Oryzias latipes: one gene and its partners. The protein of the gene in region 2 purifies or fractionates together with the protein of the main gene of each other region. This does not show direct contact. Links are inferred from orthologs where the notes say so. Each region holds a gene or a part of one and is shown on either strand. Other genes may lie near its edges.

Region 1 (4,024 bases), on a different chromosome or scaffold from region 2:
TTCATTATTGGCAGAACGGACCCGGGAGAACAACATTTAGCCGTGCTGATAACATTTTCAGCCACGGCTGAACTTAAACTGGAACAACGAGCCGATTGTGGCAACATGTCTTTATAAAAATTACAAAGAATATTGTCAGACACAATTTTTGAGGAAAATAACTTTAGGTTACAGAAGGGAACGTGAAATTAAAATTTGTAGAGCAGATCTCGACGCTACGTAGTTTGTCCAAGTGGGGCTACCGTAGCGTGACGTTACCTTCAGTCCAAAGGACCCCGAACGGAAGTTCCAGGCCGAACGGCTATGGTAGCTACAGCGGCTTTGGTAGAAAAATGTTGAGTTCAGAACACAATTCAAACTAGAAATTCTGGTTATAAATGCAAACTTTACAGAAGTTTATTTGTTGCAGCTTTTGTTCCCTTTAAACAGCTTCTTAAGTAATTTTCATACCATCTGTGCAAACATTTTTCTCGTGTTCTGCTACTTTAAAATCTGAGTTAAGACTGACCTTCAACCTGTCTTTGGTTTGTTTACTGCTCTTTATACACAATATGAATGATAATTCCACTAAAAGAGACGTGGAAAAAACTGCTAATACAAGTAGATAAATGACCTATAAAGAGCCGAATTGCAGCTTCTGAATTAAATGCTTTTGTTTTTGAATCCTCAAGAGTATTACTTTTTTTTTTTTTCAAGTGAAGTATTTGTTCTGCCTGCTGTCAGAAACTGATGTTCTATGATGAGAAGATGACCTCCTGTCATTTCGTTATCTCCTTTGTTCCAGATATGACATCCGTATCTATCCGACATTCCTTCACCTGCATGGTAAAACTTTTGACTACAAAATTCCCTACACCACTGTCCTCCGTCTCTTCCTGCTGCCACACAAGGATCAGAGGCAGATGTTCTTTGTGGTGCGTCAACATTTGAGCTTTATTTTCTTACAATACTGAGTGTAAATTTACAACATTTCTTGCATTTTTTAAATTTTAACTTCCTTCTGATGGTCTGTTTTTCTTTTCTTTTCACAGATTAGCCTTGATCCTCCAATCAAGCAGGGTCAGACTCGCTATCACTTCCTCATTCTCCTTTTCTCCAAAGAGGAGGACATAAATCTCACCCTTAACATGAACGAGTGAGTACAAGTACATTTTAGTAACTATTTAACTCCTTTTGTTTAGGGCTGCTTCAGCTTGTTGGGTTTTGCAAACAAATCTGGAAAACTAAAGATGTCCACTAGGGGGAGACAAAAGTCTGCTTTATTGCCCGTTCACAAACCGTAAAGAAGTTTGTTTTCTTGATGCTTCAGGGATGACGTGGAGCGCCGTTTTGAGGGGAAACTCAATAAGAACATGTCGGGGTCTCTCTATGAGGTAGTCAGCAGGGTGATGAAGGCTCTGGTCAATCGCAAGATCACTGTCCCAGGAAACTTCCAGGGGTAAACATGTCGTACACTAAAACACGTTACGGTCTAAGAACATCTAATAAAACTCTGTACGTTGTATTTTCTCCAGCCACTCTGGGGCTCAGTGCATCACCTGTTCATACAAGGCTTCTTCAGGCCTCCTCTATCCTCTGGAGAGAGGCTTCATCTACGTACACAAACCTCCTGTCCACCTCCGCTTTGAAGAGATCTCCTGCGTTAATTTTGCCAGAGGGACCACCACAACACGTTCCTTCGACTTTGAGATCGAGACCAAACAGGGGAATCAGTATACTTTTAGCAGCATTGAGCGGTAAGGCACTATATGTGTTTAGCTGCATCTTAAACAATAAATACACTTGTAGGAGTTTTTTCATCCTCGTCTATAAGTTTGCAGAACAGAAGCATGACCCCAGTCGTCTTTGAACAGATTCCTAGTATTCTAGGGGTGGAACTGTCTCCATCTACTGTCATCCAGGTTACCCTCACCTTTCTTTACTTTTCAGAGAGGAGTATGGCAAACTGTTTGACTTTGTCAACGCCAAGAAGCTCAACATCAAGAACAGAGGATTCAAAGAGGTAACGCATCAACCTGCACTCCCGCTCCTGAAACAGGCTTTCATAGACTTCCATGTCAGATGGAGATTCTTATTGCCCCTCTTTGTCTGCTCTTGTACCCCTGTAGAAGAAGGTGGGTATGGTCTTGGGCGTCATTTGTAGACTAGCAGCTCTTGGTTTTCTTTGTGGAATCATGTCTGATTGCATGGCGTGCTGCTGACGTGTGCTACAAGGATTGTGATCAGTAATCTTGATTGACCTTTTTTTGAGGTTGAAATGGTTAAATACTGAGTGACATATGGACTAATCATGGGAAGGCGTTGGGTCTGCAGTAATTGTGTGTTTGTCTGCATCTTGCCGACTGATTTGCTTCTTTGGGTCTTTCGGGTTTCCGTGACACGATCGTTATTCCGACGCGATGTTCAGCCAGCGCCATCAAATCTGACGACGCTCTTTACGTCCAGACATTAAGTGCTCGCAGCAGAGCTATTGGTTGCTGTGGTGATGGGGTCAGCAGAAGAGGTCAAACAGATCGAATGGTTTTGCTCTCCATTTCCTGGTGGTGTTTTCATGGCTGTTTCCCTTCGGGTGTCTGTCCACTGACAGACGTGGATGTTGAGAGGGGGTAAGGTGGCAGCAGATGACAGTGGCTTTGCGGTGGAAAAGATGATGCAACTGCATTAAGCCATGGAGTCTTTAGTGGAATTTAACCTGCTGGCCTTAAAAGAAGAAGCGGCGATGCTGGACAGAAGAGGGTCCGGTGCCGGATTACCCACAATTCATTCACTTAACAAAAAAACCTTCACTCATTAATCTGTTTTGTTTCAATGTTGTCCTTTAATTGGCTACTGAGTTTTTCTGACCACAGATTTATATATTTATTTGGAAAACGATTGTATACTAACAGTGTGTGTTTGGGGTAATGATGTGGTTGGAGGTGAGATTTCAGCAAAAATGCTGGACTAGTTTTATGCTCTGTGGTGGTGGGGGGGTTTGTTGACGGTGCAGTTTGTTTTCAGGGCATGAAGGGTAAAATTGACGACTACAGTGACTCGGACGAAGACAAACATGATGCCTATCTGGAGAGGATGAAGGCTGAAGGCAAGATCAGGGAGGAGGGCAACGACAGCGACGAGTCGGATGCTGAAAGTGGTGAGTAAGACTCAGAACAAGAAGAGCAGCAGCAGCTGGCTGAGAAGAACATCTGCTTTAACCTCATTTATTCTCCCTGTAGACGAATCCTTCAACCCAGGAGAGGAGGATGATGACATAGCAGAAGAGTAAGCCACTTAGATGGTTCCTATTTTGAACTTGTTTTATCCCAGCTGATGGTGTCTTCCCGCTGGCAGGTACGACAGCAATGCCAGTGCGAGTGACAGCAGTGATGAAGGGGATGACAGCGAAGACGAAAGCTCAAAGAAGAAAAAACCCAAGAAAGTGGTCAAGGAAAAGAAAGAAAGGAAAGAAAGGAAGCCACGCAAAGAGGTCAGAGGAAAACTGGAGAAAGTACTGAATTTTTACGAGTATGAGTCACGTGTGTTTTTTTTTTTTTTTCTTTTGCACAGTTTGACCTGACTTATACTCAGGTGCGACATATGTGATTACCGTAATTTCCGGACTACAGAGCGCACATACACAAGCCGCGTCAGTGTACAAGCCGCATGCATTACGCAACATGGCCAGCATGACAAGTCACATCCTGACTCCCAGAATGAGTTCATGAATTCATTTGCACACTGTAGGAGCAAATAGCATTGGATCAGCTGATGTGTTTGAATTCACCCACATCTGCCAAACAGCATGGACCTGTATTCTGTTCACAAGTTCCTCAGTTATGGTTTTTTTTTTTTTTTTTTTTTTAGTTTTTTTAACGTATTGACAATCTAGGTATCATACATAAAATTACAAACAGTAACCATATAATCAACATTACATCCCTCAGTTATAATGAGGAAATTTACATCTGCGATTCCCCATTTCCCATGAGTCTTAGGGGCTAAAGGCGGATCTAACCTCCGGCTTGCCATACTGTTGTCAGTTTTT
Region 2 (4,601 bases):
CCAGCAGCTGGAGTTGATTCAAATTGTTCTAAAACAAACAAACATCAACACTAATGGTAAATGGCATTTACTTACATAGCGCTTTACTACCTTCTTAAAGGCCTGAAGGGCCTTAGTGTCACAGTCCCATTCATCCATGCACACACACAGTCACACACTGACGGCAGCTCCTCTGTCAAACAATAGCGCCGACCTTTAACTTCCAGATTAATGTGGGGTTGGGCGCACAGAGCGGGAACTGAACCTGCAATCTTCCGATCAGAGGTCAACCGCTCCACCTCTGCACCGCTAATACTAATGTGCTTAATAGCTGCATTTGTTTTGGGGAGGATCTCATTACTCATGTAATATTCATCTGTCCGGCTCCTAACTGTGGTCCTTTTCAAAGCCCCCCAGGTCCATGTGACTAAAGTTTCCCTTTATAAGTCAGTAAATACCTTAACTAGAATATTTTCCTTCAAAAATCAACGTTGTCTATTAACCTGTTAGCTGTAAGTGATTTTAAAAAAAGCCCCTCAACATTGTTCTTTTAAAATCTGCAAATGGAATTTACAGGTACATTTCCTGTTATTTAAAGTTTTCTGATAGAGGAACTTTAAAAATCTGAATTTAGGGATTAAGTGTAAGATTTTTAGCTTCCCAAAGAAAACCACAAAATCCTCCATGATGTTACAATATTTAGACCCCTTTTCCTTGCGATTTATTCTATTATAAGACTGAAGACTTTTTAGATAACTGATGCCCTATCTAGCCACATTCCTTTTTCTCTTTTGGAAATACAATCACACATAAATAAACCACATCGAGCTTCACTTGTTGGTGTAGAAAAAAACAAACACAGAGGCGCTTAAACGTATTTTTGTTCATTGCAAATAAGAGCTGGAATCCTAAAAGAATGTATGAGGCATCATTGAACTCTCCTTGCAGGGATGCGTGTCCTTCATCAAAGTCCTACCTCCTGTCTGAGGGAGCGCTACCCCTCTCAGAGCGAGGGCTCCCAGCACCAGACATCCCGCTGCCTGCTGGGCTTCCTCCATCTGATCTTTGACCCACATCGTCGTCGTCATCTTCGTCTCGCTGGTCGTGCTCCGAGCCGCTGTGCTGCTCTGCGTCAGACTGATCGTTGTCCCCCTGATCAGAGTGCATACTGGCATCTGACTGGTTCCCCGAGTGCTCGGACTGATTGTCGCTGCCGCTGTGCTGACTGTGCTGCTCATCCTCACTGTCGTCTCCAAACAGCTCCTATTAGACACAGGTCAGAGGAGAGTTGAGTTAATGTTCGGACCACAGTCACACCTGTGGGCTCTTTGCTCATTTGCACCTGAATACTGACTCAGTCCTGCAGCTAAAGCCACAAGTCACCTGGATGGTGAAAGAGCCGTGGAAAACTGCCACAAAGCTGAAAGATCTGTCATACTGACTTGTTGACTATCGTATCTATTTACAGTGTGAAGAGCAAGTCACAGTGAAGTCATTTATCAGCAGACTTTTTGCAATTCAAGACCCACTCCGATGAAAAGGGTGTTTTTGGTGTTTTTAACATCTTGTTTTGGCATTTTTCTGATAGTGGAGGACATATTTTAAGAAAATTAAGCTTAAAATTACATTGCTGACTATTCTTTATTCAAATAGTTCAGGAGCAGACAAAAAATTCTGTATAAAAAAAGAGCCTATTTGTGACTTAAAGCTGGGCGGGTCACAGTCTCCCTGCTCCGAACTCCTAGCAACTGCAAAGAAGAGCAGGGTTGCTCCATGTCAACAGTCCTGCTCACAAATCAGAGGCAAATTTCACATGACCTCCTGCCGGTCTGCAGGAACTACAACAAGCCTGTTTCCTCTGTTCTTAAACCCTGTTTAATAATCCTGTTTAAAAACTGTGCCTAAAGTTTATATGTAAGCTACAAGCTTACAAGCTTTAACATTTAAAAAAAGGCAAAGTGAAAATAAAAGGAAATTAAGAAACTTTCATCATTTCACTTTTTTTTTTTGATATGACAAATTCCTCAACCTTGTTCATGTTGTTCTTTCCTCTCTCCTGGCCATCTTCATTGTCGTCATCGTCCCGTTCCCTGTCACTGTCGCTGGCGCTGCCAGACACATTGCTGACTGACCTGGGTCTCTCCTGCTCCGAGTCGGAACCAGAGCCAGAGGCAGACTCTGCATAGAGGAGACGACAAGCAACTTTTCTTCAGACACACAAAAACAATGAATCATGTTGACATTAACCAACTCAACCAACCATTGACCAACTCAAAGCAAGATGTTATCTGCCATCAAGCGATGGATCCAGTTTATATGTTGTTACTGTTTGATATACAATTAGACTAGTAATAACTATACTAATTGTATTTATATTGTTCCCACTTCCTTCTCATCTAGATCCTATAATATAGAATTTTCATAAAGTTATACTCCATATCCAATTAAAAGACTAAAAAACAAAACAGGCAGGTCCTTAAAATTAAATTTTCTGTTTTTTCTTTTAAATAAATAAATCCTCTTAAAATCACAGTAACTCTTAATTTCATTATTTATTTTAAAAAGTGCATGTGTTTGAAACCAAATTGTATATTTACAATTGTTTATTTTTGCATTGTTGTTTAACAGACAAAAGTTTTGAATACAAATGCAATAAAGGTCAGATAATTAAACAAATTAATAATAATAAACTGGTTTGGCGAATTATATACAGATAATTATTTTGTTCCCGTCGTCGTTGGTCGTGAATATGATCGTATATTCTGGACATGCGGTTAAAATAGTTTGAGCTTTACAGCTTTGCCTTTAAAGAGAAATTGATTCAAACAAATTGCTGCATGATAATTTAATTTAATGTAATATAATATCTTGGAATTCCCGGCATTTAATGTTGACGAGGAAAGAAAAAAAAATACACGAGTGTTTATGATTAACAAAAACATCACCAGTGCAACTATCCAGGCAGTTCCACCGGCTTAGCCGATTGTTTTTTGAGGAAAATCCTGTTCTGGATTCGCACTAATGAGTGCGCAGGCGTGACTTCATTCAACAATGAAACCTAAATTCGGACAATTTGTAGCTTTTTACCTCTCTGGTCGTTCTCGCTGTCTCCATCACTTCCGAAAAGCTCGTCCATGTCCGCCATTTTTTCTGAAAACCGGAGTGAAAGTACAGGAAGTGGTCGAGGTTTTTGGAGGTTTTACATCCGGGTTGAGCTCACTTATCCTTAATCTGTGTGCTGACTGTTTTAAAGCACTAGAGGGCGCTGTGAAGCACCTTAAACTGAACTGCATGAAACTGAACAGGCAGTTTCCCATAGTATCTTTCACATAGTTGCTGTTTTTTAAATTTAATGCAATTTAACGAAATCTATTTTTCTTAAATGTTAAATGAGGTTTATTCTGTTAGTAAATGTAACTTATTGATACTCACACAGAAATTTGATTATTACCTTTGATTATACAAAGACATAAAATGTATTAATGTTGACTTCTAACCAAAACCCAGATGCAGTCGCATTGGTCAGACTTTGACACTTTTGGAATAATAAATAAAATAATAACTATCTATATAATTTAAATATGAACATTTAAAGCAATGAGTAGAACATGGTTGAATTGAATAAAGTTGCACATTTTGCATAGTGTTGTTAAAAGTGGCTTCATGATAAAAGTTATTTGCAGGATTTTATTTATCTATGAATATAATATAGGACACTTTCTACAAAAATGAATGAATAAATAAATAAATGATAAAAGGACAACACTAAATAATGCTGAATTGGAAAAAGGTCTGTGGTTACCGTTTTACTGTTGTCCATACTGTTGTCAAAGGTAGAAATCATCTGACTGCAGTTTTAATCTGCTTTTGTGTTGTTTCTTCAAGCTCAAACTGTTGTTTTCTGCTTTAAAAAATTTCTAACCTCGATCAAACTTTAAATTTAAACTTCAAACAGTTTGCTTTTACATTCAATGAAGAAATTAAAGTGCAGATGATTCTATATTGATTAATTCATAACACACTGCACCATAATAAATGTTCAAAAAATATTGGGTCTTTAATTTGGAAAGAAATGTCATTTTAATAGCCGTAAAAAGCAGTTACAAGTACTGTTTGAGCCACAAAAACATTTATTTTTATTATTTCATATTGGTTGACTGCAGTCTATCCATGCAAGGAACTACTACATATATGTTTTGGTTTTCCAGAAAATAACTTATTTCTGTGACATAAATATAGAAACACTTGATTATCTGTTTTTTGAATGTACATGTATTAACAGTTTTTGGGAGGATTTTTTTCCCCTTGGTGCTCCTCAAAGTTTCCCTTTCCTATTTCTATTCAATTAGAAAAAAAGCAGATCATATTATTTGGAGTAGTTTCTGGTAATAATCTATTTGATTTGACATTCAATACTTTATTAATATCTGGGAAATTCTTTATTCATAAGAGCAGATTTTCAAACACCAAACCATTATTCAATACATTTTATAAAGAGATCAGTTTATATTTTAAATCTCTGAAATTAATTTAAAAAAAATGCAATAAAACTGTCTATGTTCATTCAAGATCACAGGTTGTATGAAAATCCCTAGTAGTGTAACCTACAATTGTAATTTTAA
Region 3 (3,097 bases), on a different chromosome or scaffold from region 2:
CAGATTGTGTGACTGCACTTGAAAGCAGAGATTTGGACCCAGTTTCTGTCCCACAGGAGATCAGACTACAACATGTGCTTGGATGGATTTCTATGGAATCTATAGCATTTAATTTTTAGTCAAGATTTAAATTTTTGAACATTTGAATTTGGGCTTCTCTTTAAGGGCAGAGGAGGAGGTGTCTTTAGCTCTCCTACGTTGCGATTTTTCTTTTACCCATCTACAGTAATCTAACAATGATAGTTAGCGTTCCAGTCCCAAACAATGATGCCACCACCTCTGTGTTTCACAGAAGAATTGTGGATAGATGTTCACAAAAGCCCTTCTGCTCACCATATGTCTTTGAAAAAAGAAAAACTCTTCTCTCAGAAGACTTGAACTTGGATTACAAGCACAACACTGCAATCACTCGTTGATGAATGATCTCAAAATCTCATAGACCCCTCACTGAAGCCCATAACGCAGTTCCCTTGTAAATGGTTTGTAGCTTCAATTAAAAACTGTTGTAATTGATACAATACATTCAGGCTCATTCAGATTACCGGCGGGAGAATCTGTTCTTGAACGCTTTGATGGTTTTGGCCATCATAGGGGCGATTTCTGCAGAACAGATCAAACATGGAGGTTTAATTGATGCAAACATATAAAGATTTAATGCAAATCTAATGATAAAAAAGTGCCTGTGAACTTACTTTTGACAGCTGGCTTCTCTCGACCAAGTCCTCCTGCTCCTCCTCCACTTGGAGCGGAGGGCCGGGATGAAGGCGCAGGTGAGGCCAGCAGAGAGGAGGAAGAGGAGCGGCTCGACTCTCCAGAGTCGCCTGTAACAACTGGTCGGATTCTTGAGGAGAAAAAGAAATATTTGAGAGGGAATAGAAGTGAAAGAATAGTACAAATAACTTTAACTTAAAAAATAAGATAATCAAAGAAGTTTTTTTTATGGAGTAAAATTCTTCCTATAGCATCCCTGGAGCATTTAGACTTAAATATGTACAGTCTGGTTTTTGTTGACAAGACCAGCTAAACATTTTTCATTTTAAGCAATTCTGGTTCATTTGATGGCAACAGCATCTGTTTCAGTTTTTTTTTAAAAAGCAGAAAAATAGATGAAAGTAAAAGAAAAAACTTTCAAAAGTTAGGTGGGTGATTATTTAGATTGCATATAGGCAGGGAAATACAGATTATAAGTAATACATTTGGTTAGAAGTTCACCCGTCTGAGTCAACAATTTTGATTTGATTTGATTTGAAATGGTTTATTTCAAGCAATTAAGTAGAAATAATACACAACAGCAATATAATCATCAGTTATACATTCATACAGTAACTAATCAAACTTAGGATAATTAGACATATTAATAAATATTGCTTGAAAGGGAGTGGAAGGAAGCAAACTTATATAATCCCACCACGTTATACTATAACCATTTTATTACATGATTTATCAATATCCGGTTCCCAGTTTTTATCAGACAGAATTAAAAGTCATAAGATATCGATAAAGCACATGACAAAGATAAATTACTTAAGTATTACGTCAAAAATAACTATTTTAGAAATCAACATGGCAAATGCAGATCAGTCATCTGAAATATATGCAGATTATGTTACTTATAAAAGCCACTCATATGAATAAAACATAATACTATATCAGTAAAGTAGTGTAACCCGGAACCAGGTTAGTGTTACACATTTTAGGAAGACTGATTGTAATATGTTCATATGATGGCTTCTGAACGTCTTCAAAGAACAATTGAAAAATAATTCTCTTACAAATAAAATGGTTGCGTATTTGAGTTTATCTTTAATAATAAGGTAATCAGACTAGACTAGACTAACTAGACTAGACTAACTAGACTAGACTAGACTAGACTAGACTAGACTAGACTAGAATATTGTAATTGCCAGCAGCTGTTAAATTGTGGGTGGTCCAACAGCAACAGTGCACAGGGCAATAGTGAGTAAAATAAATAAATAACATGATAAAAGACAGTACATGGCATAAGGCAAACCTAAATACAAGAAACACGACGATAACAAAAAAAAATTAAAAAGCAGGAAACCCAATAAACAGAATTGAGGGTAAAGTGTAGTGTAATTATGTGCAATTAAATTAGCAAATAGACCTTTGAAGACGTACAGAAGCCATCATATGAACATATTACAATCAGTCTTCCTAAAATGTGAAACACTAAAACTACTTTTAGTAAGTCAGACCTCGGGTAAATACAGAATGGACACATGTGGAGAGTAGACTTGAATTCTGAGCGATTATTCTGTTGTTTTTTTTCCAACAAATGTTTTTCAACTGGAAAATGTTTTTAAAAAAACTCTACATCCAATCCAAGGGCTTTGTGTCAGATCCCCTATCCTGGTTGCAGTTTAGATCTCTTTTTGCCAGTTGTTCATTCACTTCTAAACACTGATGATGTAAATCTGCTAAAGTGAAGCTATGATCTGAGCCTGGCTGGCTGTTTCTGTGTCACTGAACCCTTTGCAGCGAAGTAAATAGAAGGCTCATATTAACAAACTTTATCTCAATGATACAAGGGTTTAGTTTTTGATGCATGGTATCAGTCTCCACAGCTGCTTGAATGCTGTCCTTTAAAAGCCTTCACTCTTTATCAAACCTCTAAGCTGCATCCTTTCTGTTGCCTTTTTCTATGACTAGTGCATTTCTATTCCAACAAATTCTTTAAGAAGAAAATTAAGTTGTTTTGAAGCTTTTATCAAAGATTAGATCAGAATAATAGTTTTATTCACTCACTTGATAGGAGAGGCAGCTGTAATAGAAGCCGCCGAGGACAAACCACTAGAGGTACCAAACCTCTCCTGTCGGCGCCGAACGTCACGTGGAGGCTTGGCCACAGAATTTACAAACGCCATCTTAACCTGTCGACCTGCAAAACACATGAAGGATGACTGTAAGAATGGCTGCCATTTCGAGACCAGCTTTAAAGTCTTCAAAATCTTCTCCTGCCTTTCGGTTTGTTGGCGTGTGCAGAGGTGATGTTCTGGGTGAGCAGCCTCAGCCGTTCCTCCCGCTCGTCATGCAGCCGCAGGTACATTTCCCTCCATGACTCGAACTCCTGAGGAGA

The links. Proteins that work in one complex are often made in the same cells at the same time.
Region 1: the proteins of leo1 (region 2) and ssrp1 fractionate together in Homo sapiens (co-fractionation; 3 studies listed by BioGRID and IntAct, with this or other methods). This does not show direct contact. The link is inferred for Oryzias latipes from reciprocal best matches to the Homo sapiens genes LEO1 and SSRP1.
Region 3: the proteins of leo1 (region 2) and eloa purify together in Homo sapiens (affinity purification with mass spectrometry; 3 studies listed by BioGRID and IntAct, with this or other methods). This does not show direct contact. The link is inferred for Oryzias latipes from reciprocal best matches to the Homo sapiens genes LEO1 and ELOA.

The regions. Positions count from the first base shown.
Region 1 is NC_019868.2:13,997,096-14,001,119, reverse strand, and holds part of ssrp1 (FACT complex subunit SSRP1), read left to right. Parts: intron 1-784; coding exon 785-914; intron 915-1,031; coding exon 1,032-1,135; intron 1,136-1,309; coding exon 1,310-1,438; intron 1,439-1,514; coding exon 1,515-1,736; intron 1,737-1,929; coding exon 1,930-2,002; intron 2,003-2,108; coding exon 2,109-2,114; intron 2,115-3,000; coding exon 3,001-3,133; intron 3,134-3,215; coding exon 3,216-3,261; intron 3,262-3,330; coding exon 3,331-3,466; intron 3,467-4,024. UniProt on the Homo sapiens protein: Component of the FACT complex, a general chromatin factor that acts to reorganize nucleosomes. The FACT complex is involved in multiple processes that require DNA as a template such as mRNA elongation, DNA replication and DNA repair.
Region 2 is NC_019861.2:13,579,833-13,584,433, reverse strand, and holds the start of leo1 (RNA polymerase-associated protein LEO1), read right to left. Parts: upstream 3,165-4,601; 5' UTR 3,125-3,164; coding exon 3,067-3,124; intron 2,158-3,066; coding exon 2,009-2,157; intron 1,243-2,008; coding exon 956-1,242; intron 1-955. UniProt on the Homo sapiens protein: Component of the PAF1 complex (PAF1C) which has multiple functions during transcription by RNA polymerase II and is implicated in regulation of development and maintenance of embryonic stem cell pluripotency.
Region 3 is NC_019869.2:17,219,876-17,222,972, forward strand, and holds part of eloa (elongin-A), read right to left. Parts: coding exon 2,980-3,097; intron 2,900-2,979; coding exon 2,767-2,899; intron 842-2,766; coding exon 693-841; intron 601-692; coding exon 539-600; 3' UTR 1-538. UniProt on the Homo sapiens protein: SIII, also known as elongin, is a general transcription elongation factor that increases the RNA polymerase II transcription elongation past template-encoded arresting sites.